Linked DNA regions of Pelodiscus sinensis. The protein of the gene in region 2 purifies or fractionates together with the protein of the main gene of each other region. This does not show direct contact. Links are inferred from orthologs where the notes say so. Each region holds a gene or a part of one and is shown on either strand. Other genes may lie near its edges.

Region 1 (7,508 bases), on a different chromosome or scaffold from region 2:
TGATTGATGGCTCAGTACATTCAAACATATGTAGTGCCTAGAGACCCAATGGAGACTGAGATTCCATTGTACTAGGCACTGTGCAGAAAAATTCTCTGGCCTAAAGAGTGTAAAGTGTTAAGTAGACCAGACACCTATCCAATAAGAGGAGAAAGAAGTGACTTGTCCAAGGTCACATAGGAACAGGGCCGGCTCTAGGCACCAGCAAATCAGGCAGGTACTTGGGGCAGCATTTCAGGTAAGCAGCTGGCGCTGCCCCTGGCAACGCCTAGCCCTGCCCTGCTGATTTTAAAGGGCTGCGGCCTGGGAAACGCCGTGGCTGTGCAGCCAGCTGGCACCAATGTGCACCTGGAGCCTGCTGGCCACCTCGTCTCCTCTCCTACTCCTCCCCTCCCCGGCAGTCGCTAGGCTGCTGGCACAAAATGGCTGCCGGCCAAAAGACCAAGGAGACTTAGTGCTCAACTGCTCTCTTGTTCCTATTCCTGCACTCACTCTTAAAGGGGACATGCTGTTTTATTTTTTTGTTGTTGTTGTTCAACAACTTTGGTCTCCCCCCCACACTTTTTTTTTTCCTTCAACAGAATTTTTTCCCGGTGTTTTTTTTGGGTGGGGGAGGGCAAAAATGTTTTTGCTTGGGGCAGCAAAAAACCTAGAGCCAGCCCTTCATAGGAAGTCAGTAGTGGAGCAAGAAGTAGCACCCTTGAAAGAGATCCTGACTCCAGTGAATGAGTCCAGGATTTCACTCTGCATTCTAGTCCACTACCTTAAGCACCAGTTCATGCTACCTCTCTGCTCTAGAATGCCAGTCTTGCATTAAAATGTAACTCCTCTTGATTGGTAACAAAATAAAAAATATATGAGGCCTGATCCTGAAGTTTGGTGCAGACTATAGTCCCTTTAATGAGACTTTTGCCTGAGTAAAAACTGTAACATGTTAGGATTATTGTGCCTATAATATTACCTGGTGGAACAAGGTGTAGAAAGTTGCATTAAGGTAACTGGTGATATAGGTGTTTAGGATATAGATGTTAAAGGGACATTTCACATGACAGCTACACATTGGCTGTGTCTAAACTGCATCCCTTTTCCGTAAAAGGGATGCAAATTAGACACATTGCAATTGCAAATGAAGCGGGGATTTAAATCCCCTCCGCTAAACATGTCTGCCGCTTTTTTCCGGCTCGGAGCTTTGCCGGAAAAAAGCGCCAGTCTAGACGTGGATCTTTCGGAAAATAAAGCCTTTTCCGAAAGATCCCTTATTAAAATAAGGAATAAGGGATCTTTCGGAAAAGGCTTTGTTTTCTGAAAGATCCGCGTCTAGACTGGTGCTTTTTTCCGGCAAAGCTCCGAGCCGGAAAAAAGCGGCAGCCATGTTTATGCAAATGAAGCGGAGGGGATTTAAATCCCTGCTTCATTTGCAATTGCGATGTGTCTAATTTGCATCCCTTTTACGGAAAAGGGATGCAGTCTAGACACAGCCGTTGTGTGTCTCTCAACTCCCCTCCCCTCTTCAATGTACACTTGCCTCTTCCTCCATCTCTGTAGGGCCATCCTGAGAGGGCCCGAGGCAGCACCCTCCGTCACATCTCCCATCTCTGCCCTGCCCTTGCCCCCTGACCAGCATAGCCCAGGAGGATTATGGGGTCCTGGTGTGCAGCAGCAGGGGTCATCTTTCCCCCTACTCACCACCCTGGGGCTACAGGTGTCTGCTTCCTTCTGCTATGGGGAGCAGCGGGCTGCAAGAAGGTGGCAAGATGGAGTGGAGTAGGCTGTTGGGCTGCTCCAACTCCTGCTGTTGTGAGGGAGCAACCCCTGCTGCTGCCATGCTAGGTCCCCATAATTCCCTGGTCACTCCCATCCCTAAGATGGTTGAGGTGACCTCCACAGGGCCCCCAAAAGTATGGGGGATCTGGGCTAGCTGCCTGCATTTCTACTATAATGTCCCACATCAGGGAGAGCTGCAAGAAATTCCCCACCTCCAAAAAACTGTCACCATGCTGCTCCAAGTTTAACATGGGTGATGGGTAGAAGTCAACATCACATAAGAACAGCCATACTGGGTCAGATCAAAGGTCCATCTAGTCGAGTATATTGTCTTCTGACAGTGGCCAGTTCCAGGTGCCCCAAGGGAATGAACAAAACAGGTAATCATCAAGTGATCCAGCCCTTGTCACCCATTCCCAGTTTCTGACAAACACCATCTCTGCCCATCCTGGCTAATCGCTATTGATGGACCTATCCTACATGAATTTATCTAGCTCTGTTTTTGAACAGTCCTGGCCTTCACAACACCCTAACAAGGAACTGCACAGGTTGGTTGTATATCAGCTAGTGTGCGAGATATCAGTTAATTGAATAGTTGAGTCATGAAATCCTGTTGGTTATCAACTATTTTATAGTCCCCAGGGGAGAGGCCAGCATCCAGTGTGCTCTTGGTCCCACTCCTGGGGACCCCCCAACACCCGCGCTGCTGCCTCTGTATCAGAGGCACTAGCATGGGGTGCCAGGCAGGAGTTAAAAAACAGATCCCCACATGGACCAGCTGCCTACCAGCCTGCTTTGCAGCCTCTGATAAAGAGGCAGCAGTGAGGGGTGGCAACAGCTACTGTCTGTAGGAGGTCCCATGGACAGAGGCTGCTGCAGCGGTGAGGATGGAAAGGCTGCCACAAAGCAACCTTGGTCCATGGGCAGCAGGGATTGGGGTCTGAACTCCCTGGGGGCAGATGCTGTTCAGCCTCCCATGGAGCAGCCTCTCTCTGCAGTAAACTTGAGCCTGCCATGGACAGAGGCTAGTCCTCAGCAGGAGACCTGAGGTGGGACTGAGCTCCCCTCAGACAGAGGTGGAACAGCTTCTGTCCATGGGGAGCTCAGACCCCCTGCAGTCAGGGGCTGCTGCTAGGGTTGCCAGGTGTCTGGTATTGTACTGGACAGTCCGGTATTTGCGCGCTCTGTCCGGTAAAAAAAATCAGAAAATACCGGACATGTGCAATGTCTGGTATTTTTTGATTTTTCCAGCTGCGCACCAGACGGAAGCCTGGCATGGGTGGGGGGAGCGGATGGGAGGCGGGGCCATGATTGCTGCCAGGAGCCCTCAGTTGGTTGAGTGTGAGGAGGAGGGGAAGCCTGCACGGGACAGGCAGCAAGTGCCCAGGTCAGTCCCGCTCCCTGCCAGCCAATTTGCTCACCCCTTCCTGGCTGGTTCTCCCTCACTTCCCCGGCCAGCCCTCTGCACCATCCCCCAGCTCTGCTTCCCACTGGCCCATTCCTCTTTCTGATCTCCCGCAGCCAGCGCCGCTGCATCCCTCCCCTTGCCAGCTCTGCTTCCTGCCCCCCTTCCTCCCGGCCAGCGCCACTGTACCACCCCCCGCCAGCTGTGCTTCCTGCTCCCCCTTCCTCCGGGCCAGCCCCGCAGCCCCCGCCCCGCCCCCAGCTCTGCTTCCCACAGCCTGTTCCTCTTCCTGATCTCCCCCGGCTAGAGCCGCTACATCCCACCCCCGCCAGCTGCTTCCTGCCCCCCTTCCTCATGGCCCCCAATCCGCCCCAGCTGCACTTCCCACCCCTCCTCCCCCAATATCCCTCGGCCAGGCCCGTTTTGCCCTATCCCCCCTGCTTCCTCCCCCATCTCCTCCGGCCAGCCCCGTTGCAACCCCCATTAGTTGTTTCCAGGACCCCCCTTCCAGGCCAGCACTGCTCCCTTCCTGGCCGGTACTTCTCCCCCCCCCCCCATGAAGCGTTTTATTTTTAAATGACTCCCTGGTAACCCCTAGCAGTGATCCAGGTTCTTGGAAACCCCCCCCTTTTTTTTCTCAACAACTTTGGTTCTCCCCCCCCTTTTCTTTCCTTCAACAAAATGTTTCCAGTTTTTTTTTTGGTGTGTGTGTGGGGGGGTCGGTATTATTGTTTCAGCCATCTGGCAACCCTAACTGCTGCCAGTGCATGTTCTCAAACGCTGGGGGGGAGCCTTGGGAACCAGATCCAGACAAGCCAGAGTCCACTTCCAGCCCCTGGGCCCGAGCTCCCCACCCTGCATTACTGGGCGCGCCTAAGCTTAAACTACAGGGAACGTGCCCAAGACTTGCCGCCTACCCCGGCGAGAGCGCAGCGCTGCTGGGACTCTGTCGGCGATTGAACTACCCTGGGGGCCAGGCCCAATGCAGTGCCCCCTGCTGGCTCAATGGCAGCGCTTCCTTTATGGAAGGGACAAGAAGCAGGCGGGCCCAGACACGACGCGCGTGCGAGCAGGTATCGCATTCACTGTGACGTCACTGTCCCCTCACTGTGCCGGGAACAGGGAGGTCCCCGCAAGGGCTCCGCCGCGAGCTAGCCCGCGACACGAGGCGCCGTCAGAGCCACCTGCGCATGCGTAAAGTGCCTCAGGCTCCTGGGGCGTCTACTTTTATGCCTGATGGAAAATGTCATTGCTTTGATGCCTATCCGTTCAGCGGCGGGGTGGAAGCTTACACCTGGTCTGGATTTACCTGGGGGAGCCCCAGCGGAGAGGTTTTTAAACGGAGGCACGAGGTCGGGCGACCGGAAGAAGCGCAATGGACCCCTGTGTGCGAGGCCCCTTCTGTGGCGCCATTTTGGAGTCGCTGCGGGCTGAGGAGCTGCTGTCGCTTCCGTCCCCGGCCGGCGCCCCCTGCGCCTCCCCGCGCTTCGGGATGAGCGTGGTGGAGCATGTGCGGGAGATGGCGGCTGCGGGGCTCCACTCCAACGTGCGGCTCCTCAGCGGGCTGCTGCTCACCATGAGCGGCAACAACCCGTGAGTGCCGCGGGGGGCCGGAGCCGGGGCTGAGGCAAGGCCCCTCTCGGGGCCCTGCGACCTGGGGCTGCCCCAGGCGGAGGCGGCAGGGTGGGGGGTGCTGGACGGGGCGGGGTCTCGCGGGTGCTTTGTGGGGCCCAGCGGGACCGGGCTTGGGGGGCTGCAGCTAAGAAGGCGGCGTCGGAGCAAAGGCCCATCCCGCCCAGTGGCCAGTGCCAGGTGCCCCAAAGGGAGTGAACAGAAACAGGGGTCGTGACACGAGCCCTCCCCTGTCGCCTCTTCCCAGCTTGTGACCGAGGCTAGGGACACTCTCCCTGCCCAGCCTGTCTAATCGCCATTGATGCGCCTGTTCTCCAGGAATCTATCTAGCGCTTTGTAAAAACTCTGTTATAGGCACAGGCATCCGGTGGCTTAGGCAAGCTACCAGCTTGGTCCACCCACACTCCACCCCAAGACTATCTCGGAGCGGAGTGTTGCTGCCTTCAACACCTGCCCTCCTGGTGCTCCCCTTCCCTCTCTTCCTCTCCTTGGTGCTTCAGGGAGGCTGAGAAGCATTCGGTGCTGCCCCTCTTATCCCCCATCCCCAGTGCTCCGGGGAAGCTGGGGAGCGTTTGGCCTGTTGCCCCTTCTCTGGGGAGTGCTTCCCAGGTTTCAGCAGAGGGGGTGCCTGCCTCCCCCAGCACCAGCTTCACCAGCCACTCATGGTTATAGGCGAGGTCTACACGGAGATGGTTTGGTGACAAAAGTGAAAACCAATCAAACTAATTTTTCTGTCTCCCATTGTCGCTATTCTATGTCCACGCTGCTAGTATCCTGTCAACTAACAAACAAAGTGATGTGGGTAAGCACGCACACACACACACCCCGGTGTAGTGTTTTGGGAAGGCAGAGTTTATCCATGCACTTCTTGGGATTCCCACCTAACTCTGTGATCTGTCTGTGCTGAGGAATATCAAAGCAGCTCAGCAGTCTCTCCAGCCCTGTAGCAGCAGTCTGCCTGATGCCATGTTTCTACCAGGGCAGAACAGAATCACTCCAATGATTTGTTCTTTATTTGTTCCCCAAATGGTGAAGCTCATTGACCTGTCACATACTTGCCAGAGTTTTGAAAGTGGAAGGATGTATGCATGCAGGCAGCAAAGATCGCAAAAGCCTGAACAGAGCTATCAGGTCAGGCATTGTGGGATACTGGTGAAAGCCATTTCAACAAAACAAACCACAGTGTCCACACTGACTCTATGTTGACAATAGAGGGAAGGGAAGAGACAAAAATCTCTTACAAGGCTGAAGTTTTTTTGTTGCCAAAACTGGGTGACAAAATTCACATTGTAGTGTAAATGCTCTCATTGTTTCATTGCCAAAAGGCAGCTTTTGGTGATAAAATGTGCCAGTGTAGACAAAGCTATAGTCTTGACCTTCACAGCATCCTCTGGGAGGGAGTTTCTTCGGTTGACTGTGTGGAAAAAAAATACTTCCTTTTGTTTGTTTTAAACTTGCTACCTATTAATTTTATTAGGTGACCCCTAGTTCTTGTGTTATGGGAAGGAATAAATAATTTCTCATTCAATTTTTCCACACTAGTCATGATTTTATAGACCCAAATCATATCCCCTTATAGCTGTCTGTTTTCCAAGCTGAAAAATCCCAGTTTTATTAATCTCTCCTCATAAAACACCTGTTCCATAGCCCTGCTTTTTTTTCCCAATTCCAATATATCTTTTTTGCAGTGAGGCAACCACATCTTCATGCAGTATTCAAGATGTGTGTGTACAATGGATTTCTATAGAGGCAATAAGATTTTTTTCTCTCTTTTTCTATCTGTTCTTAATGATGCTCAGCATTTTGTTTGCTTTTTTGACTGCCTGTCAGCCGACCGTCAGGGCAGTGAGTGGTGTGTGTGTGTGTGTGCTATACACCCGAGACTTCAACTGCTGAGACTGGGGTCCCTTGCAGCGGGCAACCTGGAGGTTTATGAGCGCCCCAATATGTTTGCAGGGAGAGCTTATTACACTTCAGATTTTAGCTGCTAGAATCTGTGATTCCTTCGCAGCGGGCAGCCTAGGGGAGGCTGAGGAGTGCCCCAACGGATCTGCCACCTGGGAGTGACACAAATCCAAATGCCCAAGCTCTCCCTATATCTGTCCCTTAAGACCGGCTGAAGTTCTTTTAAATTGTGCCTGGTTCTGTTACAGCAACTGAAGGAGTCAGGTTAAAGCTTAAACAGTTACAGGTTTATTGAGGAAGCTTATAAATCATATGTTTGCAATGGCTATTGTTCTATTTCTTAACTGCTAGCAAAATATAGATATTAAAAATGGTTACAAAGAAGATAAAGATAGGAAAAACAAAAATAATAGTACCAAGTAACAGCTTAACCTTTAAAGAGCTCTTAGTCTGTGTACACTTAAGACAGAGGACCACATCCAGGTACAATTTTTACCCCCTTCTGTGCCTCTCGGCTCCAGCGTATCATGCCAGAGCCGGTCCCTCAATTCCTAGGAAAGACGAAAATATGAGGTGGGCGTCCCCATAGAACCTCGGGAGGTCAAACACCTAACCCGACCAGCAGGTAGAGGGTAGATTAACACTCAAAAGTGAGTGTGCTACTGTACCCATCTTTATACCCATGGGGTCACGTATTTCTCTTTCTTATCTGTGATGCCAAATAGTGCTGGTCTGCCTTTTGTGAGACCAGTTCTTACAAGGGAGTTGTGAACTTAATTTACACTTGTAAGAGAGAATTGAG
Region 2 (7,385 bases):
CCCACTTTTTAGTCAGCTCCTTCTTGACTTGGGAATGAAGGAATATCCCAAAGCTGCCATTCTGGTTTTTAGCTTGCCAACAGCCAATCCTATGTCAATGGCTCAGGTCTCATGGGGTCTTTAGGTCCACACTCAGGCCTTTTCTACTGTTAGTATGAGCATCTGCAGGGCAAGCCCAGGAAACCTCAGAAGTATGCTGTAAGGAACTCTTCCTCCACTCTGGGCATGCGCCTCAGTCTCCAAGAGTAGTTACATAGTTCCTCCCTCCACCCACTACCCAAAAAGGAGTGACGCTATCTAGTTAATTGACCATAAGATGAAACAAGTACCAGCACTGAAGAGGTTTCTGTATTCAGCCAGCTTAACGAGGCACATCCCAATAAACTCCAACAGGTAGGAGAGTTTGGGCTTCCAGAACTTAAAAAGAGAACCACAGTTCCGCACGGTGGAGATCGGATCATTCCCTAACGCTGGAGTACACCTGCAGAGGCTAAGTGAAGATAGTGAGTTGCTATGCATATGTCTGTGATAGGAGACTAATTCCCTTCAAGTAATCTTCTCACAAACTTTGTCTAATGTAAGAATAAAGAGAGGCTTGAAGGTTTTGAGTATGCAAACGTGGGAGGGAAGAAATCTAGCAGGATGAGTGGCCTACAATTTGGAAGTCCATCACTACTCTAAGAAGGGATCTTTGCAAAAGGTGATGCAGGTACAAAAGCCTGAAGTACATACACTCCGTGAGCAAAAATCATGGCTGGCTGAGAAGTGTCTCAACATGAAAGGCAGCCTGTCAAAATAGAGTGGACGAGGAAGGGCTTTATCCAGTTAATTAAGGAGAAAATCTCAAGATTTATCAGGCTTAAATGAGACGTTTCCGTTAATAACAAGGCTGTATCTATGCCTAGAGACAAGGGGCTGTGAAGATCCGGGTGTGCTATCAAGTAATCTGTGACAGATCAAAGATAGTTGCTAAGTGGACCTAGGAGTTTTCCCTTCTTCACTCTTGGCTAGCAGTACTGGAAGTATATAAGTGAAGGGGAAGTCTTTGGGTCCTCCCCTCTCCACTCGGGCCAGCAGCATAGCACTTGAAAAAGCTGAGGAAGAGGTTAGTCCTGGAACCCGCTCCTCACAGACTGGTGGTACTAGGAGTATGAGGGGAGGATAGAAAGAAACATTCCACCCTCCAAAGAAACAGGTAGCTCGCCTAGATTATGGGAAAGCATTTTCTCCTTCCAAAGCGAGGCAGTCAGCTGCAGGGAGAGAAGCACTTATTCCTCCACCAAGCCGGAGATATGCAGAGCTGGAAGAAATCCACCACCCCGCATAAAATAAATGGGAAGCTGGCCCCTGGAGTGAGGGAGCATCATTCATACAACTGTCAGAACTGTAAGGCACATTTCCTATGCCATGCCTCTGTTAGGAGGTTAAAGGGGGTAGACACATAATATAGGCTTATAAGCAGCTTACTGTGTTCACCTACCAAAGGTATTGCTACATCCTCGTATGGTAATTTATCTTCTCTCCATGCATCATCGATCAAATCCAGGATTCTTCCATCCCTCTGCACTTCACTGTCCATCTTTGCACAATTTACATGCAGATAGATCTGCGACATAAAGCAGAAATTATCCTTGATATCTAGAACCCAAAAAGATGGAGCTTAGATTCTATGCTTGCCCTGGCCATGACTCCTTTCTTAAATAGCTTAATGGCTGTTTTACAGTCAGTAGGGCATGGCACAGTTGTTTTTCATAGTTATTAATACCCTCCATTGTTTGTATTGCCCTATGAGACGCATGAACATGTTTCTTTTCCTACCAATTCAGTTTTTGTCCATGCAACAAACTAGCACATGTACGTGGCTTTGCTCAGGTTCCTAAGGTGTTCAGGGCAGGGAACTGGGAAAGTGGGGTGGGTAAGAGTCAGAGTGGGAGGGTAGGGAGGGGATCTGGCCAGGGGACTGTGGTGTGTGTGTGTGTGTAGCGGGGTAAGCAAAGAGGCTGAAGCTCCTTGAGTTTTGTACCAGGGTCACTTGCTCTTCCTCTTCTTGTCCCTGCCAGAGAACGAGAGCAAAGTGCACAGCTCGTCTGCCCCGTCCTCCCCAGCCAGAGGGAGGAATGCAGCACACTGTGCACTTTCCCCGTGCTCCCCAAAGGGAGCCAGCAATGTCCTCGTATTAATCTGGGGGAAGATGCGCCTCCCCTTGCCCTCCCTAACAGGTGTCTGCGGGGTAGGGCTGGGACCTGCCTGGTGATTCTCTCTCTTCTCAGTACGGTGGTATGAGAGTCAATCCCATTCCAGGCGCATCCCATTGTCCTGCACAACCCGCCCCTGCCCTTGCTTTAAGCTGTGCTCAGTGGAAGCGGCGTCCTGGCTTCGCTGGCCCTCGCTCTCACGCTGTAGAAACAGACAGACTCTCTCAGACCTGTGGCCGATTGTTTCCCTGCCTGTTCAGAAAGGGGCTGACATCGCCTCCCACGGGTGACGGGCCACGGCCCGGCCCCACCGCAAACACCTGTTGTGTCCCCGGCGGTGTCGGCCCCACACAGGCGAAGGCCGGCTGTGCTCCTGCGCCCAGGGCACCCCCCGCAGTGACCCCTCAGAGCATCTCCAGCGCACCCCCCGCACCAGCGCTGCGCAGCTACCCGGTCGCCATGGAGACGCCCCGCCCAGGGGCGGGGCACCGCCCGCCAGGCTCCGCCCCGCCGGGCATGCGCAGTAGCAACCCGGCACAGCGTCCCCTCCCCCACCCGCCTCCGGGCCCGGGGAGCAGCCCCCCCGCGCGGGGCTGAGGGGCCCCAGCAGGGGGCCGGGGCGGGGGCAGCCCTTCCCCCCCCACCGCGCGGGCCGGCCCCTCCCGCCTCTGGGCCTAGCCCCGCACCTGACACCCGGCGCGCGCGCCAGCCCCGTCCCGCCCCGCGGCCCTAGCAGCGGACCACGTGACCGGCGACTCTAGGCCGCGCCAACCATAGAGAGGCGGCGGCGCGAGTCCGCCGAGGAGAGAGAGGCCGGCCCGGAGGTAACGGCTCGGCGGGGGCGTGTCCTGGGTCGGACTGTGCCCGCCGTGAGGCGCTCACCCTCACCCTGTCTGACTGTGCCTGGCGGACAAGGGGCTGTCGCCTGTGCGGCGCTGGCTGTCTGCTGAGGTGACTGGAGGCGGGGCTCTGACTGTTGTTGGCCTTGTCTGACTGTCCCTGGGTGGCTGTAGCTTTTTGTCCGGCTGTGAGCCCGTGGCTGTTCCTGTGGGGCTGGGTCAGACTGTACCCTGCTGTGAAGCTCTCGCCCTTTCTGTGTGGCGAGGTGACTGTAGCCGGGGGTTGGCCGCCGTGTCTGACTGTCCCTGGGTGACCAGGGGACTGTAGCCTTTTGTCTGTCTGTGAGCCCGTGGCTGTTCCTGTGGGGCTGGGTCAGACTGTACCCTGCTGTGAAGCTCTCACTCTTTCTGTGTGGCGAGGTGTCTGTAGCCGGGGGTTGGCCGCCGTGTCTGACTGTCCCTGGCAGACAAGGGGCTGTCGCCTGCTGCCCGCCTGTGCGGTGCTGTTTATAGAATCATAGAATACTAGGGCTGGAAGGGACCTCGAGAGTCATCGAGTCCAGTCCCCTGCCCTCATGGCAGGACCCAGTACTGTCTAGACCATCCCTGATATTATTGCTGTCTGTCTGTCTGTCTGCCTGGTGAGGTGACTGTAGATGGGGGTCTGACTGTGGCTGGCCTTGTCTGACTGTTCCTGGGTGACGAGGGGACTGTAGCCTTTTGTCCGTCTGTGAGCCCGTGACAGTTCCTGTGGGGCTGGGTCACACTGGGTCAATGTCTGACTTTACCTGGCTGTGAGTCTGTGTGATGAGGTGACTGTAGCCTGGAGTCTGGCTGTGGCTGTTCATGCAAGGCTCTGTGCCCCCACCCCACTGGGGCTGTATCTTCACTGCAGGGATGTGGGGAAGGCACATGTTTCAACACCTTAGGACTGGAATTTGCACCTTTATCACAAAACGTGTTGATGAGTAAGTCTATAAACTGTGCTTTGGGTGCCCTTGTCACCCTGGAACTGCAGGTATTTCTGTGGGCCCCAAATTATGAACAAAAACTGAATTGGTAGGAAAAGAATGTTGTGTTCAGACTATGGACAAACCCCCCAAGAACCTGGGAAGTTCCCTTACTGGTAGAGACACCTTTTCAGTCCATCTTCCATCTAGTCTGGTCTCTGACAGTGCCTGATACCAGATGCAAAACTCCATAGTGCACTAAGTTGTGCAACAGTAGCACTTAAGTCATTTTCAGCACTGGTTCAGGAAGGCTCAGTGCAGGCAGTGTTTCAGAGTAACAGTTCAATATCCCAGTAGTATCTGGGACTTTTAAAGACTTACTTTCTGCCTTGGGTTTGACTTAAAAGTTGAGCTTGGTTTTGTTAATTTTGGATACTAGGGGGCTGAGCTTGGTTTTGTTAATTTTGGATACTAGGGGGCTGAGCATTCTCAGTGGAGAGGCTGTGGGTTCCTCCATGCTTGGCCCAGTTAGCTGACTTTAGGGGTACGGATGTTAGATAGTGATTAATTGATTAGTCGTGTAACTGCATCAAATTTTAGTAGTTACACAACTATTTGATTGTCCCCGGGGGCAGGGTCAGCAGCCAGTGTGCTCCGGCCCCACTCACGGGGCGCCCTCCTGCTGCCCCACGCTGTTCCTTCTCTATCGGAGGCAGCAGCATGGGGTGGCAGGCGGGAGCTGGTCTGTGAGGGGAGCCGATTTAAAAATTGGCTCTCGATGCAGATCAGCTCCCACCTGTTGCCTTGCGCTGCTGCCTTTGATACAGCAGAGGTTTATCGATTAATCATGTATTCGGCTACATGTTGACATCCCTATTTCAGGGCACATTTCAGAACCTGCTTTAATAATTGCCATTGTAAGGTCCGATGTCTTGCACTTCAGGAGATCTAGAAATGAAGTCTATTTTATGGCCTTGGAAAGTTGGGAGACACCCTCCCTCTTTTCAGTGGTAAAACTTTCAAAGGAGGAATGCAGAAGTGCCTATCGAGTAGTTGATGGAAATTCCGTCGACTACTCAACTAGTAAATTAATCATTATTTAACATCCTTAGTGTACACGGACACATTCCATTATTCTGAATATCATCCTGTGTACTCAAGCCTAAAATTCACTTCAGCGATGCTTCTTGCACTTACAGTTGGGGTTATACTTAAGCATTTTATTGAATGCTTAATATCTGACGCTGCTTTAGCAGCTGTCGTCTTGTATTGTTAAAGCATTAATTTTTAGCTTTATGCCTTCTGCAAGCTTGGAAGTGCACTCTGTAGTTTTGTAAAATGTCTGCTACTAGAACCATATCAAGTGTCAGAAAAGAAAAAAACAAGCAATATGATACAGTGATGTAATTATAAGGTCCAGTAGCTCGTTACCTTTCAAAGCTAGAAACACCTGTGGCAGGTCAATACAAATGCTTTCAGCATCAATACACTTTTCTAAGCACAAATCCAGGACCACTTCAGGAGATGGGGGGTAGAGGAGGGAAAGATGCTTGAAGGCTCTTTTCTATCTGTCATTGAAAAACTAGGGCTGCGTCTAGACTGGCATGATTTTGCGGAAATACTTTTAACAGAAAAGTTTTTCTGATAAAAGTATTTCCGCAAAAGTGCGTCTAGATTGGCACGGATGCTTTTGCGCAAAAAGTGTTTTTGTGCAAAAGCATCCGTTGTCAGTCTAGACGCGATTTTGTGCAAGTAAGCCCCGATCGCCATTTTAGCCATCGGGGCTTTTTTGCGTAAAACAGTTCTTCCCTGTCTACACTGGCCGTCTTGCACAAGTATTTTTGCGCAAGAGGGCTTTTTCCCGAGCGGGAGCGTGAAAGTATTTGCGCAAGAAACACTGATTTTGTACATTACAAAGTCAGTGCTCTTGCGCAAATTCAAGCGGCCAGTGTAGACATCTGGCAAGTTTTTGCGCAAAAGCAATTGTTTTTGCGCAAAAGCAATTGCTTTTGCGCAAAATCTTGCCAGTCTAGACGCACCCTAGTTGTTTTGTTAGGAACTTCTTACTTATGGGGTCTGAAGAGTTGGCATTTTCTGTTTTGTTTGTAAGAATTGTGTATTTTCCATTGATGTCAAAGAGAAAAAGTAATGGATTTTGCAAGCTGATGCAAGTGACGAATGAAAGGGAGGCCACCTGACATATTTTGAACCAACAGCAACCTTGATGGCTACTGGTTGTAAGTCAGGGCCTCAGGTGTGACTTCAGAATCTCCGATTTATTTCAGGGGTAGTTTTCTGCTCTGTGTTATACTGGAGGTCAGAGTAGGTGGAATTGATGAAACCACTCTTCTGTGGAATTGCTCTCCAGACTTTAAGTTGTCACTTAAAAAATTGGTTTGAGCCTGTATGATCTGAGCTCTGGTATTTTGAGGAGCTGGGTGTAGGGGAGTCTGCAGCTTAGAGTGTAAGGTAGGAGGATGGATGTGGATTGCGAGTGATTAATAATGAGAAGTGAGGGAGTGGGGCAGAGCTTGGCTATAGCAGATGTTTGCCTGGGCCTGTGTTAATGAAGCTGGAGGAGCAGTGACTTGAGGCTTTGATATGGGGAGAAAACTGATGTACTAGTAAGCTCTCTAGTAATGCTTGTAAGTTGGTTTCTCTCTTCACTTCAAAGCCTCAAGGGGGTGCGCTAGGGCTGGAGTTCTCGCTATTTTCTTTTTGAGGCTCTCCCAATATGCTAGAAAAACTCGGTGGGGCCCTCTTATGCCACAATAACTGTGGGGTTTTTAAAACTTAAACAACAAATAGTCTGGTAGCACCTTAAAGACTAACAAAATATGTAGATGGTATCATGAGCTTTCATGGGCACAACCCACTTCTTCAGATGACAGGAGTTTTAGAAGTCCAGATCCAAGAATAAATAGGAGAAGGGGGAAGAGGGGAGAAAAGGAGGGGAGGGGGGAAAAAAGAGAGAGACAGTGAGTAGATGGTTCAAATAGTTACAAGAGACTGATAAGAACAATTAGCACCTCCATTGTTTAGTTGGTTAAGTCATTAGGATGTGGAAGATAGTGTGCAAGCCAACCTGTTCAGACTATTTGCATAAGAATTAAACTTGTGAATGAAGTTAAGTTCCAGCCCTTCCCTGTGTATTTGGCTTGTGGAATTGGCCTGAAACAAAAGGATGACTTGGAGATCCATTAATGAATGTCCAGGCAGATTAAAGTGTTCTCCAGCAGGTTTTTGTGTATTGCCTTTTCGGATATCTGATTTGTGTCCATTAATTCTTTCCCATGGAGACTGTCCAGTTTGGCCAGTATACATTGCAGTGGGGCATTGCTGGCATAGATTACATTAGTGGATATACAGTTAAATGAGCCTCCATTTTGGTGGCTGATGTG
Region 3 (7,306 bases), on a different chromosome or scaffold from region 2:
TCACTGGACAATACTTGCTGCACTCAGCACCTCAAGGAATTTGACAGAAGATTTGAGTGGGATGGGGAATCAGCCACTCAAAGAGCTAGGCACAGCACCTTTCTCTGCGTTCTGCAGGCCCCTCTCCAAAGAGCGTGATGGGCTCTCCAAGAGCTCGTAGGCACGCCTTGACTTCAGAGTCATCGGTGGAAACATTGATCTGCCTGGCACGCTTCCTGCGCTCAAATTCAGCCAAAACTTCTGCCTGACGCTCACTTATGTGGTCTTCAAGATCAAAGACCTCACCTGCGCCAGAAACAGAGCCATGAGAATAGAGCAACAACAAATGTAATTAGAGCAGCAAGAGTTTAGCCAACTCTAGCCACTAACAGCTATCTGCAATTTAAAAACTATCCTCTCAACTGTTTCAGGCCAGGACATTCGAGCCACCAATGGCCATCTTCCCCCAGACACCCTGCTCAAAACGTAGGCTGTCAGGACTTGTAGACTCTGCAGCCCCAGCCTCTGTATTATAGTACAGCAGCTGGTTCAGCGCAGCACTCAGGCTTCTGGCAACTTGCCAGCAAGCCACAGGGCCTACAAATTCTGTTTGATTTCTGTGGATTTTTAAAAAGTTCATTCATTCTTCTCCAGCAATGGGGCCATGATCAGGACCAAAGACGGAATCGTGGAATTCCCTCTCCTCTATGTACTTGTTGGCACGGATTTCACAGCCCCTACATGCCTTTCAGCTGGGCAGAGTTTGTGCATCTACTGCTTTGGCCATTATTCAAACTTAATCAAAGATTCATCTTCTTTCTAAACAGCTCTAAGTCTCACACTTTTTCAGACAGCTGAGTCAGAGGATGGTACACAGATGATTACCCCTCTCACCCTACATCAGTTGGACTTGGTATACAGCAGGGTGAGGGGGAAAACCTGGCAACTGCCCCCCAACACAGACACAGACAAAATCAGGAGGCTTCCAATTAGGAGCAGCTTGATTCTCCTAAATGCCACTGCAGTTAGCTCTGCTCTGCAGCCCTAGAGCCAGGGAGAGCAGTCTTCCACATTAATGCTTTGATTCCATGAGTCTGTTTGTGTTCTTGTTAATGTGGATGTCACAGGGCCCTAAACAAGAAGAGAGTGTAACGCAGAGCGCACACTTACCACTGGTTATGTTAATATTGCCTGCCTCAATTGCAGCTCTCACTCTCTCTCTCCCCAGCAGTCCTGACTCTCCTTTGGCAAGACGCTCCCTCTCCTTCTCCTCCAAACTGCCATAGAAGATATGGGATCTCTTGGGTAGTGGAGCATCGCTGTCCTCCAACAGTTTGTTTTTTGTTCCCTGGAGAATGAAGGCAGGATTTCAAAAGACTCATTTGATATTTATTCAGATACAAAGCAGCAATTCAGCAATCTCCTCAGTTGCAGGAGACAGCATCCCCCAGTGAGAAATAGTTAACAAGGTCAGCCAGGCAAGAAGCCCTTACATTTTATATACAAGATTCATCTGGACAGCAAGACTATTCCTCACTGAAAATGTGTTAAAGTAGAATTAGAGGGCAGCAAGCCAAGGATGTTTTTAAAAATTGGACTTGTGATCTTTTCTGCTTCTTTATGATGTTACCAAATATGCTCTCAGGCTTTCTTTAGCCTTTTGCTCCCCTGCTAGGTTCTTCCTTTGGGGCTACACTTCAAAGTTAATTGAGATTAAGGTAGGATGCTGATTAAATCTGTGTGAATGCTCTTATTCTGGAATACCAATGACGCCTTGCTCCTCCGGATTCAGTTAAAGCATTACACCACATGTAATGCTCCAGAATTTGAGCATGCGCACAGAGATGTTCCTAAATAAGTCCATGTGGAAACAAACCCTGAGAATGTAGTCTGCCCTTCCCTGGCTTTGCTGGGGGACTTCTGGGTAGTATAAGGTATTTTGAACCAAGGAATTTCATTATTCAAAACATTAGTTAGCCTTCAAATCTAAATAGCTTTTATCAAAAGTAAACAGAAGAAAAATTTTAAAAAGTAATCCTTTCTCAATTTAAAAGCTCAAGCATCTCTGATCTTATGTCATAATTATGACAGTACAATTGCATAATTTCACAAGTTCTCCATCAGGGAGCCTTCTAACTTAGATACATCCTTAATTTCTCATGTAAAAAAACAAGCAGAAAAAACAAACTTTAAAAATCCATCCTTTTTAATCATTCTTTATCCATTGGACTACAGGCAGTCCCCGAGTTACGCGGATCCGACTTATGTCGGATCCGCAGTTACGAACGGGGCTTTTCTCGCCCCGGAGGACAGGACACCCAGATGCGCCGCGGTCCGCCGCCCCCGTCCTTTGGGGCGAGAAAAGCTGCTCCCTGTCTCCCTGGTCTGCAGGGAGACGGGGAGCAAAGCCTTAGAGCACACCCGCAGCGGGACACTTGAGCTGTCCCCCTGCGGGCGTGCTCCGCGGCTTTGCTCCCCGTCTCCTGACCAGCAGACCAGGGAGATGGGGAGCAAAGCCTCGGAGCACGCCCGCAGTGGGACAGCCGCGGCGCGCCTGGACTGTCCCGCTGCTCGCGTGCTCTGCAGCTTTGCTCCGCGTCTCCCAAGTCAGCAGGCCAGGGAGATGGAGCAAAGCCGTGGAGGACTTGGGTGGTCCAGCCACCCCCGTCTTACTGGTCTGCTGGAGGGGTGGGGGAGGTGCAGCTAGTGCCCCCCCCCCAGCAGACCAGGCTTTTCTTGCCTACCCCTGGGGTAGAGCAGCTGGGGGCTGCCGGGTTGGTCCCGCAGCGCCGCTCCGGACCAACCCGGCAGCAGCCCAGCTGCTCTGCCCCAGGCGTCCTGATTCAGCTGCTGCTGGTCAGTTTCAGCAGCGGCTGAATCAGGATGCCTGGGGCAGAGCAGCTGGGGTGCTGCTGGGTTGCTCCAGTAGCGCTGAGGAGCCGCGCTACTGGAGCAACCCAGCAGCACCCCAGCTGCTCTGCCTCAGGCATCCCCAAGTCAGCCGCTGCTGAAACTGACCAGAGGCTGACTACAGGAAGCCCGAGGCAGAGTTGCTCTGCCCCAGGCTTCCTGGAATCAGCCGCTGATCAGTTTCAGCAGCAGCTGACTTGGGGACGCCTGGGTTTCTTAAGATGAATCTGTATGTAAGTCAGAACTGGCGTCCAGATTCAGCCGCGGTTTAAACTGATCAGTTTCAGCAGCGGCTGACGCCAGTTCCGACTTACATACAGATTCAACTTAAGAACAAACCTACAGTCCCTATCTTGTACGTAACCCGGGGACTGCCTGTAGTGCATAAAGAACACAAACCAATTTGCAGATCACGATTAAGGCAGACAATGTTTTCAATAGAGTCCAGCTACTATGTGTAACAAAATTACACTCCTTACAAATAATTAAGACCTTCAAAAACAAAGATCTCAGACTACTGGGAAATGTAACTATGAACATGAAGGATTCAGCAAATTCCTTCCCCTCTATTATCCACCTCACTGACACCCTGACTGCCTCACTTTACTCCCCAATTTTTCCAAAATACACACAAAAGTCAAATCAACTAGTTACCACATTATAACATTCTATTCCCTAAATAAAGAATCCATTTCCAATGATCTCATAATACCTCTGGCATAACTGCACATATACATGCTTTTTTGTTTCTGCAATGAGAGTGCCCTCAATGGTCCCAATTATTTGACATTTCCCCCAGTTGGCGTGTGGCTCTCAATCCTTTGGTGGAACAAAACTCAAGACGGTATTTGAAAAAGTTAGTCCTACAGATGGGTCTGAATGGACTGTGCCGGGCATGTGCCCAGGAGGGCTGCCAAGCAGCGCGTACCCAGAGGCCTGAAAGGGTCCCGAGTAGCCCTTGCGCTCAAGGCTCAAGTAACCCCCAGGCACTGGACATTCGGAGCGAGCCCTGGCAGGAAGCGGGCCGGGCGAGGTAAGCGCGGGGCTCGCAGAGCAGGCGGCGGCGGCTCCTTTTCTTAAGAGAGAAGCCGCCACAAAGGCCAGGGCCGCCCGGTGCGGAGGGGGCGGGGGGGGCTGCTGCGCGGCGGAAGCGGCAGAGGAGGCCGAGCGGGCCCTACCCGCGGGGAGGGAGCCGGGCCCGGCTGGGGAGAAGGCGCCGCCCGCCCCGGGGCGCCGCGCAGGGCGGGAGGCCGCGAGGAAGCCATGTCAGTCCGGAGGGGCGAGAGCCCCGGGCCAGGCGTCACTTCCGCTTCCGGGTCCCGGGGAGGAGCGGGACGCTTGTGCTTCCGGGGGCAGGCCGGCGTTCCGGAAGGTGCGCGGGGCCTGACGGGAGGGGCCGGCGCGGGGCGCGGGAGCTGATCGGCGCGCTCCCCCCCTCCGCCCTGGTCGCGCCTCGCTGACCCCTCCGCCCCCCCGCGATGCTGCGCCGGAAGCCCACGCGCCTGGAGCTGAAGCTGGACGACATCGAGGAGTTCGAGAGCACCCGGAAGGAGCTGGAGGTGAGCGCCCCCCCCGGCCCGGCTCGGCCCCCCCAGCTCCCCCGGCCCGGCCCCCCCCCCCCGCTCGGCTCGGCCCCCCCCGGCGCCCCCCCGGCTCCCTCCGCCCGGCCCCCCCCCCCCGGCTCCCCCGGCCCCCCGCCCCCCCCCCCGGCCCGGCCCCCTTGGCGAGGCCCCGCTCTCCCGCACGCGCAGGCGGCCCCGAGGGGCGGGGGGGAGCGGCCGTGATGTCCCTGCGGGGCGATCGCTGCGCGAGCTCCAGGCCGCTCTGCACCGGCGGGCGCTTTCGCACAAGCGCATCCCTGGCAGCTGGGCGCTCTTGCGCAGGGAGCTCCCATGGCCGTTTTAGCCACAGGGCTTCTGCCGTTGCCTGTGGACACCGGCCTCTTGCGCAAGAGGGCTCGTCCCTCGAGGGGACAGGAGTAACTCGTCCGGAAGAAGCTGTTTTCCGACGCTGTGCTGTGAATTTACCTGCACAAGAACACGTGCGCAGTGCAGACAGCAGACAAGGTTTTGCGCACGAACAGTTGTTCTTGCACAAGAAACTGCCCGTGTAGACAGAGCCCATCTGTATACATGCACCAACCGCAGGGGTGGGCAAAAGAGCCTCCGCGGGAAGACTCCTCCCAGTGCCAGGGGCATGGGTGCCTCCGGGCTCCCCCACCCCCAGGCCAATCATGGTCTGAGGGTGGGGAAGCCCAGAAACATCCTGGCCCTGCCCCTTCAGTTGGAAGCCCCGCCCCTTCTGGAGTAGCCTGAGGCCACTTACAAAATGTTTTAAGTAGCCCCTAGCAAAAAATAGTTGCTCATCCCTGACCTACAGCTATTGGGGTCAAACACAGTATTTACATTGGCAGATGTAATGGCATATACAAAAGCTATGAGGCAGGAGAATGACATTGTAGTTCTCTGCCTCCCAGACACATCTGGAAACAAGGACTGAACTGAGGTGCAACAAGTTGAGCCCAGGCTAGAAGGGTGACTTTCTTTGAGTAGTAATACTTGAAGTTTTAAGCTGCAGGCTACTGTAACTGACTTTCAAGAATCTTTGCAATCTGCCCAAGATAACATTTAGGGTGAGACAGTACTATTTGTAGCCTGTGTCTTTAGTGCATCGAGTCTGTATATTTTACTTGCTCAGTAATCTTTGTTCTGTGTGCTGTCCTTTACATTCACTCTAAAATCTACCCTTTCTAGTCAGTAAACTTGATTTTATTTCTTGTGAAACGCAGTTTGTGAAATTGGTAAGAGGCTCTGCATGCCACATTGAGAGAGGGTAGATCCTCTTGGGTTTGCATTCCAAGGAAGGTGGGTACCTGAGTGATGAGGCAAATTCCTTGAGTCTTCCCACTGCTGAGCTCAGTGTCTGTGTTTTTCTGCAACTGGATGTGGCCCTGTGTGTGGGCGCAGGCTGGAGGAGGTTTAAGAGTCTGACTCAGCAAGACAGGATTAAAGGGTGCCCAGGCTGGCAGAATAGGTTGGGGCTTATTAGTATCCTACTACATCAGGGGGCAACCTATCACACACCCAACCTTCCTTCCGTCCCCCCATTTTGAGTTAGTTTCTCTAAACATCCTGAGCAGTTGAATTTCCGTCACAGTGGAGTATAAGACTTGGCTTGACTAAGTCCTTTAACTTGTTGTGCCCCTGTGTGACGGTAGCATCAGCTCTGTGAATTGGTAGCCGTTTGTGTCTATGTAGGTAGGGAGGTGTCTGAATGCCGTGACTTGTGTATTAACTCTTACAGAACAATGTATTTCCCTCCTTATGGCTATGCAAAATGCCCAGGGAATTTATTCAGTCTGTAAGCAGGTTTCCTGGAATGAAATCAGCTTATCTACCATTTTTCCTGCCTTCACAGTTTTGAGGTCAGTGGTCAGAACTGAAATGGATGTCTCGACACTGCTAAGATCCCTTTGATGGAAGAGCTCTAGTTTTCCATTGTCCTTATTTTTAGTTGATTGCTTTTTTTTTTTTTTTTTGGCAGAGTCGTAAGAAGCAGCGTGAAGAGGTGGATGGAGTGGGAGCCAACGAGGAAGAAGGAGCTATTGGTCTGAGCAATGACCATAAGAGCCGAGAACAAATGATAAATGACCGGATCGGTTACAAACCTCAACCCAAACCCAGCAACCGTTCCTCCCAGTTCGGAAGCTTTGAATTCTAGAGTTTAGGGGGCCTGCTACTTTGTGGGCAGCTGAGCATTGGACTCTGAGGTTGCGTTCCAGACTGTTCTGGCAAAGATGTTCAAAGGCTGTTTGCATAGCTCTAGAGCTGGCTGGGACTGGCCCGGATTTGCCAACGAGTCTCGGGCTTCAATAAGGGAAAGTGTTTGCCTCTTTCAAAGACTAGTGGGTGTGTTTTAACTTGACTGATTACTGCATTTCCAGAGATCTCTCTGCCCAGCCACTTTGTTTTAAATAAATATTTTTTTTAAATGAGATACTCAACATATCAGAAAATGCACATGGGGCTCCTAAAGGCAAACAGAAAATTTTTAACAGCAGATTGGCCTCCTGCATGGGACAAAAACAGGAGTCAACCATGGCCACTGCCTCATGGGGATTGGCACAGAGGCAAAGCTCTGCCTCCCTAGAGCAGTCCTTTCAGTGTTCTTGAAAGCCCAGCTCCAAATGGTGCAGTGTAATGGACTGGGCATTGGTATGTGAAAGACTTGGTTTCTCCCCACACTAGGGAGAGGCAGGGCAAGCTTCCCTAGACTCTGCAAGTTGTCAAGTGCTTGGCTCCTGCGGGTGTGCTGCAAGGAGCCAGTGGCAATGGCTGGTGCATGCATTGCTAATTTACTAAGAAATGAGCTAGACTTCAACTCATTTCAGTCATCACACCATAGCTGCTTTCGTACT
Region 4 (7,594 bases), on a different chromosome or scaffold from region 2:
TGTGCTGGCAAAACTCAAGCACTGCAGCAGCAAAGGCGACACTTCCCATACAACACAACCACAGAGCCTTGCCCCTGCTCTGAAGTGTTCCCTGGGGAGATCACTGCATCTTACTCCCCCCCCCCCCAAGATTCTGTCTTGTAGGAGAGGGCAGCCAGTCCTCCCTGGGGCCATGAGGCTGTGCTAGGCCCAGGCTTTGCTAAGGCACTGTGTGCCATGAACGGAATGCCAGTGGGCGGTGACGGACCGGAAGAAGAGAGATGATGCACTGGGATTGGAGCTGAGAGTCTACAAGGCAATGCAGGAGGCTCTCAAAGAACTGCAATTTTACAGAGAAGAAAGAAATCTGAGGTTGCACAAGGGCACTTTGGGTGGAGCTGGAATCAAAACCACCAACTCGAACCCCTAAGCCTCACCCAAACTGCCTTCTGAAACGAATGTGCCAAGCCCCTGCTTGCTTACCCTGTCTCTAGCAGTCATTCTAACCACTAGGCCCTAGTGCTCTTCCAGAACCAGGAGGAGAGGCCAAGAATCCCAGTTCCCAATGTCCCCCCGCAACGCAGCCAAGTGGCAGAGGGCCGTGGTAGGGGCTGGAGGTCCCATGTGCAGTGCCTGGTGTGGTTTTCTCACAGCAGTACCCTTTTTGGGAGAGCTGTGGAAAGGCCTTAGCTAAGTGCTCCCCAGGGTGGGAAGTGCCATACCCAGGAAGGCAGCCCCCACGTGCAGTGGCACCTTTCAACTCACTTTTGTAAATGACCACAGGATTTTGGCCGAGTGAGTTGAACCTAGTTCTGGTTCAGCCACACCACAAAGCCCTGCTTTCCCTGGCCTTTTGATTGCAGTTCAGAGCTGGTTCTACACGAGGCCTTGCTAACTGGAGAGACGCCATGCCTCTTCGGCAGTACCACCCAACCCCCCACGCATCGGGCAGCTGCCTTGGAGAAATCCAGCCCCCGGCGGCCAGATACCTTCGTGTAGGCGGCCTCAGTCTCGACGATGGTTTTCTCAAACTCGTTGCGGGTGGCCATCTTGCGAGCCAGGCTCTCGTTGACGCGGGCCAGCTTCTCGGTCAGGAGCCGGATGTCGTTTTGCAGCTTGCTCTTCTCCTCCTCCTCGTGCTGGATCTGCTGGCTCAGCTCATCCCGCTTGGTGCACAGCTCCTCGATACCTGGGGCAGGAGGCGAGTCAGGGCCAACTGTGGCCAGGGGCTCAGGGCCCATCCCTCTAGCACGCACGCAGGCGAGACATGTCCTGAGGCACCTGCATGGCCTCCCTGCACGGGGAGGTGGGGCCCACCTGGCCAGTGCAGAGAGTGTGGGGGAGTATGGGGAGGGAGGGGATGCAGTGCACAGAGCGGGCACAGGGTGCATAGGGGGGCAGTGCACAGAGCAGAGGGGGGGTGCAGGGTGCATGGGGGCAGCGCACAGAGGGGGGCAGGATGCATGGGGGCAGTGCACAGAGCAGACGAGGGGCGCGGGGTGCATGGGGGGAGGCGCACGGGGGGGCAGAGTGCATGGGGGGGCAGCGCACAGAGCAGACGGGGGCGTGGGGTGCAGCGCATGGGGGGTGCAGGGTGCATGGGGGACAGCGCACGGGGGGCAGGTGCATGGGGGGCAGCGCACAGAGCAGGCGGGAGGCGCGGGGTGCATGGGGGCAGCGCACGGGGGGGTAGGGTGCATGGGGGGCAGCGCACGGGGGGCAGGTGCATGGGGGGCAGCGCACAGAGCAGGCGCGGGGTGCATGGGGGGCAGCGCACAGAGCAGATGGGGGGCAGGGTGCATGGGGGGCAGCGCACGGGGGGGTAGGGTGCATGGGGGCAGCGCACAGAGCAGACGGGGGGTAGGGTGCATGGGGGGCAGCGCACGGGGGGGCAGGGTGCATGGGGGGCAGCGTACAGAGCAGACGGGGGGGCAGGGTGCATGGGGGCGGCGCACGGGGGGGCAGGGTGCATGGGGGCAGCGCACAGAGCAGACGGGGGGCGCGGGGTGCATGGGGGCGGCGCACGGGGGGGCAGGGTGCATGGAGGGCAGCGCACAGAGCAGACGGGGGGTGCATGGGGGCGGCGCACGGGGGGGCAGGGTGCATGGGGGCAGCGCACAGAGCAGACGGGGGGCGCGGGGTGCATGGGGGCGGCGCACGGGGGGGCAGGGTGCATGGGGGCAGCCCACAGAGCAGACGGGGGGCGCGGGGTGCATGGGGGCGGCGCACGGGGGGGCAGGGTGCATGGAGGGCAGCGCACAGAGCAGACGGGGGGTGCATGGGGGCGGCGCACGGGGGGGCAGGGTGCATGGGGGCGGCGCACAGAGCAGACGGGGGGTGCATGGGGGCGGCGCACGGGGGGGCAGGGTGCATGGGGGCGGCGCACAGAGCAGACGGGGGGCGCGGGGTGCATGGGGGGCGGCGCACTGGGGGGGCAGGGTGCATGGGGGCAGCGCACAGAGCAGACGGGGGGCGCGGGGTGCATGGGGGCGGCGCACGGGGGGGCAGGGTGCATGGAGGGCAGCGCACAGAGCAGACGCGGGGTGCATGGGGGCGGCGCACGGGGGGGCAGGGTGCATGGGGCGGCGCACAGAGCAGACGGGGGGCGCGGGGTGCATGGGGGCGGCGCACAGAGCAGACGGGGGGCGCGGGGTGCATGGGGGGCGGCGCACGGGGGGGGCAGGGTGCAGGGGGGCGGCGCACGGGGGGGCAGGGTGCATGGGGGCAGCGCACAGAGCAGACGGGGGGCGCGGGGTGCATGGGGGCGGCGCACGGGGGGGCAGGGTGCATGGAGGGCAGCGCACAGAGCAGACGGGGGGTGCATGGGGGCGGCGCACGGGGGGGCAGGGTGCATGGGGGCGGCGCACAGAGCAGACGGGGGGCGCGGGGTGCATGGGGGCGGCGCACAGAGCAGACGGGGGGCGCGGGGTGCATGGGGGCGGCGCACAGAGCAGACGGGGGGCGCGGGGTGCATGGGGGCGGCGCACGGGGGGGCAGGGTGCATGGAGGGCAGCGCACAGAGCAGACGGGGGGTGCATGGGGGCGGCGCACGGGGGGGCAGGTTGCATGGGGGCGGCGCACAGAGCAGACGGGGGGTGCATGGGGGCGGCGCACAGAGCAGACGGGGGGTGCATGGGGGCGGCGCACGGGGGGGCAGGGTGCATGGGGGCGGCGCACAGAGCAGACGGGGGGTGCATGGGGGCGGCGCACTGGGGGGCAGGGTGCATGAGGGCAGCGCACGGGGGGGCAGGGTGCATGGGGGCAGCGCACAGAGCAGACGGGGGGTGCATGGGGGCGGCGCACGGGGGGGCAGGGTGCATGAGGGCAGCGCACGGGGGGGCAGGGTGCATGGGGGCAGCGCACAGAGCAGACGGGGGGTGCATGGGGGCGGCGCACGGGGGGGCAGGGTGCATGAGGGCGGCGCACAGAGCAGACGGGGGGTGCATGGGGGCGGCGCACGGGGGGGCAGGGTGCATGAGGGCAGCGCACGGGGGGGCAGGGTGCATGGGGGCAGCGCACAGAGCAGACGCGGGGTGCATGGGGGCGGCGCACGGGGGGGCAGGGTGCATGGGGCGGCGCACAGAGCAGACGGGGGGCGCGGGGTGCATGGGGGCGGCGCACAGAGCAGACGGGGGGCGCGGGGTGCATGGGGGGCGGCGCACGGGGGGGGCAGGGTGCAGGGGGGCGGCGCACGGGGGGGCAGGGTGCATGGGGGCAGCGCACAGAGCAGACGGGGGGCGCGGGGTGCATGGGGGCGGCGCACGGGGGGGCAGGGTGCATGGAGGGCAGCGCACAGAGCAGACGGGGGGTGCATGGGGGCGGCGCACGGGGGGGCAGGGTGCATGGGGGCGGCGCACAGAGCAGACGGGGGGCGCGGGGTGCATGGGGGCGGCGCACAGAGCAGACGGGGGGCGCGGGGTGCATGGGGGCGGCGCACAGAGCAGACGGGGGGCGCGGGGTGCATGGGGGCGGCGCACGGGGGGGCAGGGTGCATGGAGGGCAGCGCACAGAGCAGACGGGGGGTGCATGGGGGCGGCGCACGGGGGGGCAGGTTGCATGGGGGCGGCGCACAGAGCAGACGGGGGGTGCATGGGGGCGGCGCACGGGGGGGCAGGGTGCATGAGGGCAGCGCACGGGGGGGCAGGGTGCATGGGGGCAGCGCACAGAGCAGACGGGGGGTGCATGGGGGCGGCGCACGGGGGGGCAGGGTGCATGAGGGCAGCGCACGGGGGGGCAGGGTGCATGAGGGCGGCGCACGGGGGGGCAGGGTGCATGAGGGCGGCGCACAGAGCAGACGGGGGCGCGGGGTGCATGGGGGCGGCGCACAGAACAGACGGGGGGGGCCAGGGTGCATGGGGGGCGCAGCGCACAGAGGGCGGGGAGCAGCGCACGGGGCTGGGGGGGGGGGCTGGCCGCCGGCCCCCCCCGCACCCTCCCCCCCGCGGGTCCCCCCCCGCTCACACTTGACCAGCTCGTTGTTGTAGCTCTGCAGCGCCGCCCCCTGCTGAGTCATGGCGGCCCGAACCCGGCCCGGCGCGCGCCCCGCCCCGCCCCAACCGCCCCGCTCGCCCCGCCCCTCGCCCGGCTCCGCCCCCGCCCGCTCGCCCCGCCCCCGCCTCACGTGCCCCTGGCGCGCGGGCCGGATGGCGGCGGGGCCGGGCCCGGAGCTGTCGGCGGCCTGGCACGCGCTGAGCACCGGCCTGGTGCCGCCCGCCGCGCTGGGGCTGGTGAGTGAGAGCGGCCCCCCCGCAGGCCCCCCCTCGGACCCCCCATGTAGACCCCCCCGTCTCGCCCCCCGACGGCCCCCCCCAAAACGGCCCCCCCCATGCAGCCCCCCAAAACGGCCCCCCCCATGTATACCCGCCCAGACGGCTCCCCCATGTAGACCCCTGTCTCCCCCCCCGACGGACCCCCCATGCAGCCCCCCTCGGACCCCCCTGTCTCCCCCCCGATGACCTCCCCACACGGCCCCCCCATGTAGACCCCCGTCTCTCCCCCTGACGGACCCCCTATGCAGCCCCTCCTCCCACACGGCCCCCCCATGCAGCCCCCCCAAACGGCCCCCCCATGCAGCCCCTCCTCCCACACAGCCCCCCCCATGCAGGCCCCCTTAGCCCCCCCCCAGATGGAGCCTCCCTCCAGGCCTCCTAATCAGCCCCAGACAGCCCCCCACCCTGCAGACAGGCCTAGCCGTGCCCCCCACCCCGGATCCCAGCCATTTCCCCCAACCCCCCCGCCCCGTTTTTGTCCTGAGAACCCCTAAGTGCGTAGGACAGTTCAGTTCGGGTGGGCCCCGGAGAGGGTGTTGGTTGCAGATAAGGCAGCTCGATTTTCTAGTTTTGTTAGGGCATCACTTGGGCAGCAGATTTAAGGTGGTGCCTTTGCACCTCTTCTGAGTGCAGACTTAAGGCTGAACTTCCTGGGGGTCTCAATGTTGTTTCTATCCAATTGCTCTTGCAAGGTCGCAAACCAGAGGAATGGATGTCTGCCCGCACCTTTAAGTGCATTCTCACCCTGGTGTGTGGGAATTGCCTTAGCTTTTGTTCTTGCCAAGTCAAAGATGGTCGCAAGAGAGGAGCCTTGGGATCCCCGCAGGGATTCAGGGCCACCCCTATTCTTAGAATGTTCTAATTTGGAAGCTCATTCACTTAACATTTTCTAGGAAAATGCATATTGTTTCCAAATTGAATCTGCCTGTTCCGAGCCACTGTATTTTCGCTGGTTTAGAGGGAGCAAATTATGGAAACTTCTGTGCACTGAATGGCTGGCATTGTGGCTTTGAGCTCTTCAATAAATAGGCTGCTCACCTGACAGCTCCCATGGCCGCTGTCAGCAAGGGGAGCAGTTGATGCCAGTCACGGTGTGGGTGCTCATGATGTGAACACCTTCCTATCAGCAGGATTGAGACCCCACCCTCTCCACCAACAGCAGGTGGTTGGTAACCTACAGCCGCCTGAAACGTGACCCAAATACCAGTGGGGGACATGCTCCATCCATAGCCTGCTGGCTGTTCTTTGAGGTGGATTTGCAAAGCCCAGCCTCAGTGATTTGTAGGTGCCCAGGCTTGTGTTTAACTTGGTGTGTCTCTTTAGGCAGGCCCCAGATCAGGTTCAGCAGGGCTGCTGAAGGACAGTGACTTGCAGGCGGCCGTGGAAGTGCTGCAGCGCTATGACTTGCACTCTGTCCTGGAAGAATGGTTCACTGAAGTTTTACAGACAGACTTGCAGGCCAATATAGCTCCTGAATTCTGGAATTGTATTGGCCAGTATGAAAACACGGCGGAAGAGCCACAGTGCTCCTTGCTTCTCCTGGATGCCTTTTGTCTGCTCAAGTGCCGCCTCGACCCTTATCTGAACAGCTTGGACCTTCTGGAAAAATGGACCAGAATGGGCTTGCTCCTTGGAACAGGCTCCCAGGTGCTGCGAGAGAAAGTCTACACCATGTTCAAAGCCATCCTTTTCTTCACCACCACCGAGACGTTCCAGGAGATGATCCAGCAGTTCTACAGCCGCACCTTCAAGATTTACATGCGCCAGGGGAAGAAGGGTGAAGGCGGAGTGAAGGCGTGCGAGAGCAGCATGAGTGAGAACGAGCCAGAGAGCGATCCGGAGGACGGAGGAGACGGCCGGCAGTGCCTGGGCTGCAGCAGTAAGAGAGAGCAGTGCTGGTGTCCCACAGCCATGGAGCAGTTCCAGCAGCTCAGTGAAATCCTGTGCGTATCTTACAGCAAGGTGGCGAGTTGTAGGGGCCTGCGCTCCCCCCCTCCCCCTCGCGTTTGCTGGCTCAGGTCTCCCTGAGTTCCGCCACCCTATGCTTGCCCCCCAGCCCCGCCTGCTGTCCCTGGGTGATTTTAAATGCCTTGGGGGGGCCCCCACTGCAAGCAGCGCACAGAGACCCACTCTTCTCCCCCCACCCTCCCAGGCCCCTCGGAGGTGCTGGCAGCCACGCAGAGTGAGCGGCAGGAAGCCTCTCTAGCCCCGCTGCACTGCTGATGGGGGCTTCCAGGGTGTGTTAATTCACCTAGGGGCAGCAGGAGGAACCAAAGGATGCGCAGGGCGGAAGGCATGTGAGTGGCAGGTGGGGCGGGAAGAGCAGTGGGAGCAGCACCGTGCACTAGGAGCTGCTGCCAGAGGGTGGTGCCTCCCAGGTAAACATGGCACCCTTTACCCTGGTGCTGCCCCCAAGCTCCAAACTGCCTCCCAGAGCCTGCCTCCTCCTGCGGCTTCCTCCCCCACCCCAGGCCAGAGCCTGCATCCGGGCCTCATCCACATTCCCTCCCAGAGCATGCACCCTGAACCCCTCCCGCATCCAAACTCCCTCCAAGAGCCTGCACCCCTCCTACCCACCGATCCTCTGCCCAGACTCTTGCTAACAAGACCAAGATGGCTGCACACAAACTCCCTTACTCCCTTTTCCTGCCTCCACACTACTGATTGTAATGAGAGATTATGGTATGCTGATGGTATGAAATTTGCATATAAATTCCAGTTCAGCAGTTTCACCTTGCAACCTGGTTTGGAAGGTTTTTTTACGTTGGAAGTTTGATATTTGATATGACTTGGGCTATATCACGCGATCCTGTAGTCTGTTGTTTAGAATCCGAGAGTGTTCTATT

Evidence for each region.
Region 1: the proteins of ANAPC13 (region 2) and ANAPC7 purify together in Homo sapiens (affinity purification with mass spectrometry; 3 studies listed by BioGRID and IntAct, counting the BioPlex papers as one, with this or other methods). This does not show direct contact. The link is inferred for Pelodiscus sinensis from reciprocal best matches to the Homo sapiens genes ANAPC13 and ANAPC7.
Region 3: the proteins of ANAPC13 (region 2) and CDC26 purify together in Homo sapiens (affinity purification with mass spectrometry; 4 studies listed by BioGRID and IntAct, counting the BioPlex papers as one, with this or other methods). This does not show direct contact. The link is inferred for Pelodiscus sinensis from reciprocal best matches to the Homo sapiens genes ANAPC13 and CDC26.
Region 4: the proteins of ANAPC13 (region 2) and ANAPC2 purify together in Homo sapiens (affinity purification with mass spectrometry; 3 studies listed by BioGRID and IntAct, counting the BioPlex papers as one, with this or other methods). This does not show direct contact. The link is inferred for Pelodiscus sinensis from reciprocal best matches to the Homo sapiens genes ANAPC13 and ANAPC2.

The regions. Positions count from the first base shown.
Region 1 is NC_134725.1:32,240,326-32,247,833, forward strand, and holds the start of ANAPC7 (anaphase-promoting complex subunit 7), read left to right. Parts: upstream 1-4,493; 5' UTR 4,494-4,544; coding exon 4,545-4,762; intron 4,763-7,508. UniProt on the Homo sapiens protein: Component of the anaphase promoting complex/cyclosome (APC/C), a cell cycle-regulated E3 ubiquitin ligase that controls progression through mitosis and the G1 phase of the cell cycle.
Region 2 is NC_134720.1:1,061,038-1,068,422, forward strand, and holds the start of ANAPC13 (anaphase-promoting complex subunit 13), read right to left. Parts: upstream 3,014-7,385; 5' UTR 2,882-3,013; exon of another isoform or gene 2,866-2,881; intron 2,665-2,865; exon of another isoform or gene 2,516-2,664; intron 2,483-2,515; exon of another isoform or gene 2,024-2,482; intron 1,607-2,023; 5' UTR 1,580-1,606; coding exon 1,481-1,579; intron 1-1,480. UniProt on the Homo sapiens protein: Component of the anaphase promoting complex/cyclosome (APC/C), a cell cycle-regulated E3 ubiquitin ligase that controls progression through mitosis and the G1 phase of the cell cycle.
Region 3 is NC_134732.1:1,349,556-1,356,861, reverse strand, and holds CDC26 (anaphase-promoting complex subunit CDC26), read left to right. Parts: upstream 1-4,303; 5' UTR 4,304-4,367; coding exon 4,368-4,448; intron 4,449-6,432; coding exon 6,433-6,609; 3' UTR 6,610-6,885; downstream 6,886-7,306. Other genes in the region: PRPF4 (U4/U6 small nuclear ribonucleoprotein Prp4), read right to left, coding at 99-285, 1,150-1,327, 4,068-4,154. UniProt on the Homo sapiens protein: Component of the anaphase promoting complex/cyclosome (APC/C), a cell cycle-regulated E3 ubiquitin ligase that controls progression through mitosis and the G1 phase of the cell cycle.
Region 4 is NC_134732.1:2,396,894-2,404,487, reverse strand, and holds the start of ANAPC2 (anaphase-promoting complex subunit 2), read left to right. Parts: upstream 1-4,585; 5' UTR 4,586-4,622; coding exon 4,623-4,706; intron 4,707-6,071; coding exon 6,072-6,691; intron 6,692-7,594. Other genes in the region: microtubule nucleation factor SSNA1, read right to left, coding at 969-1,168, 4,441-4,492. UniProt on the Homo sapiens protein: Together with the RING-H2 protein ANAPC11, constitutes the catalytic component of the anaphase promoting complex/cyclosome (APC/C), a cell cycle-regulated E3 ubiquitin ligase that controls progression through mitosis and the G1 phase of the cell cycle.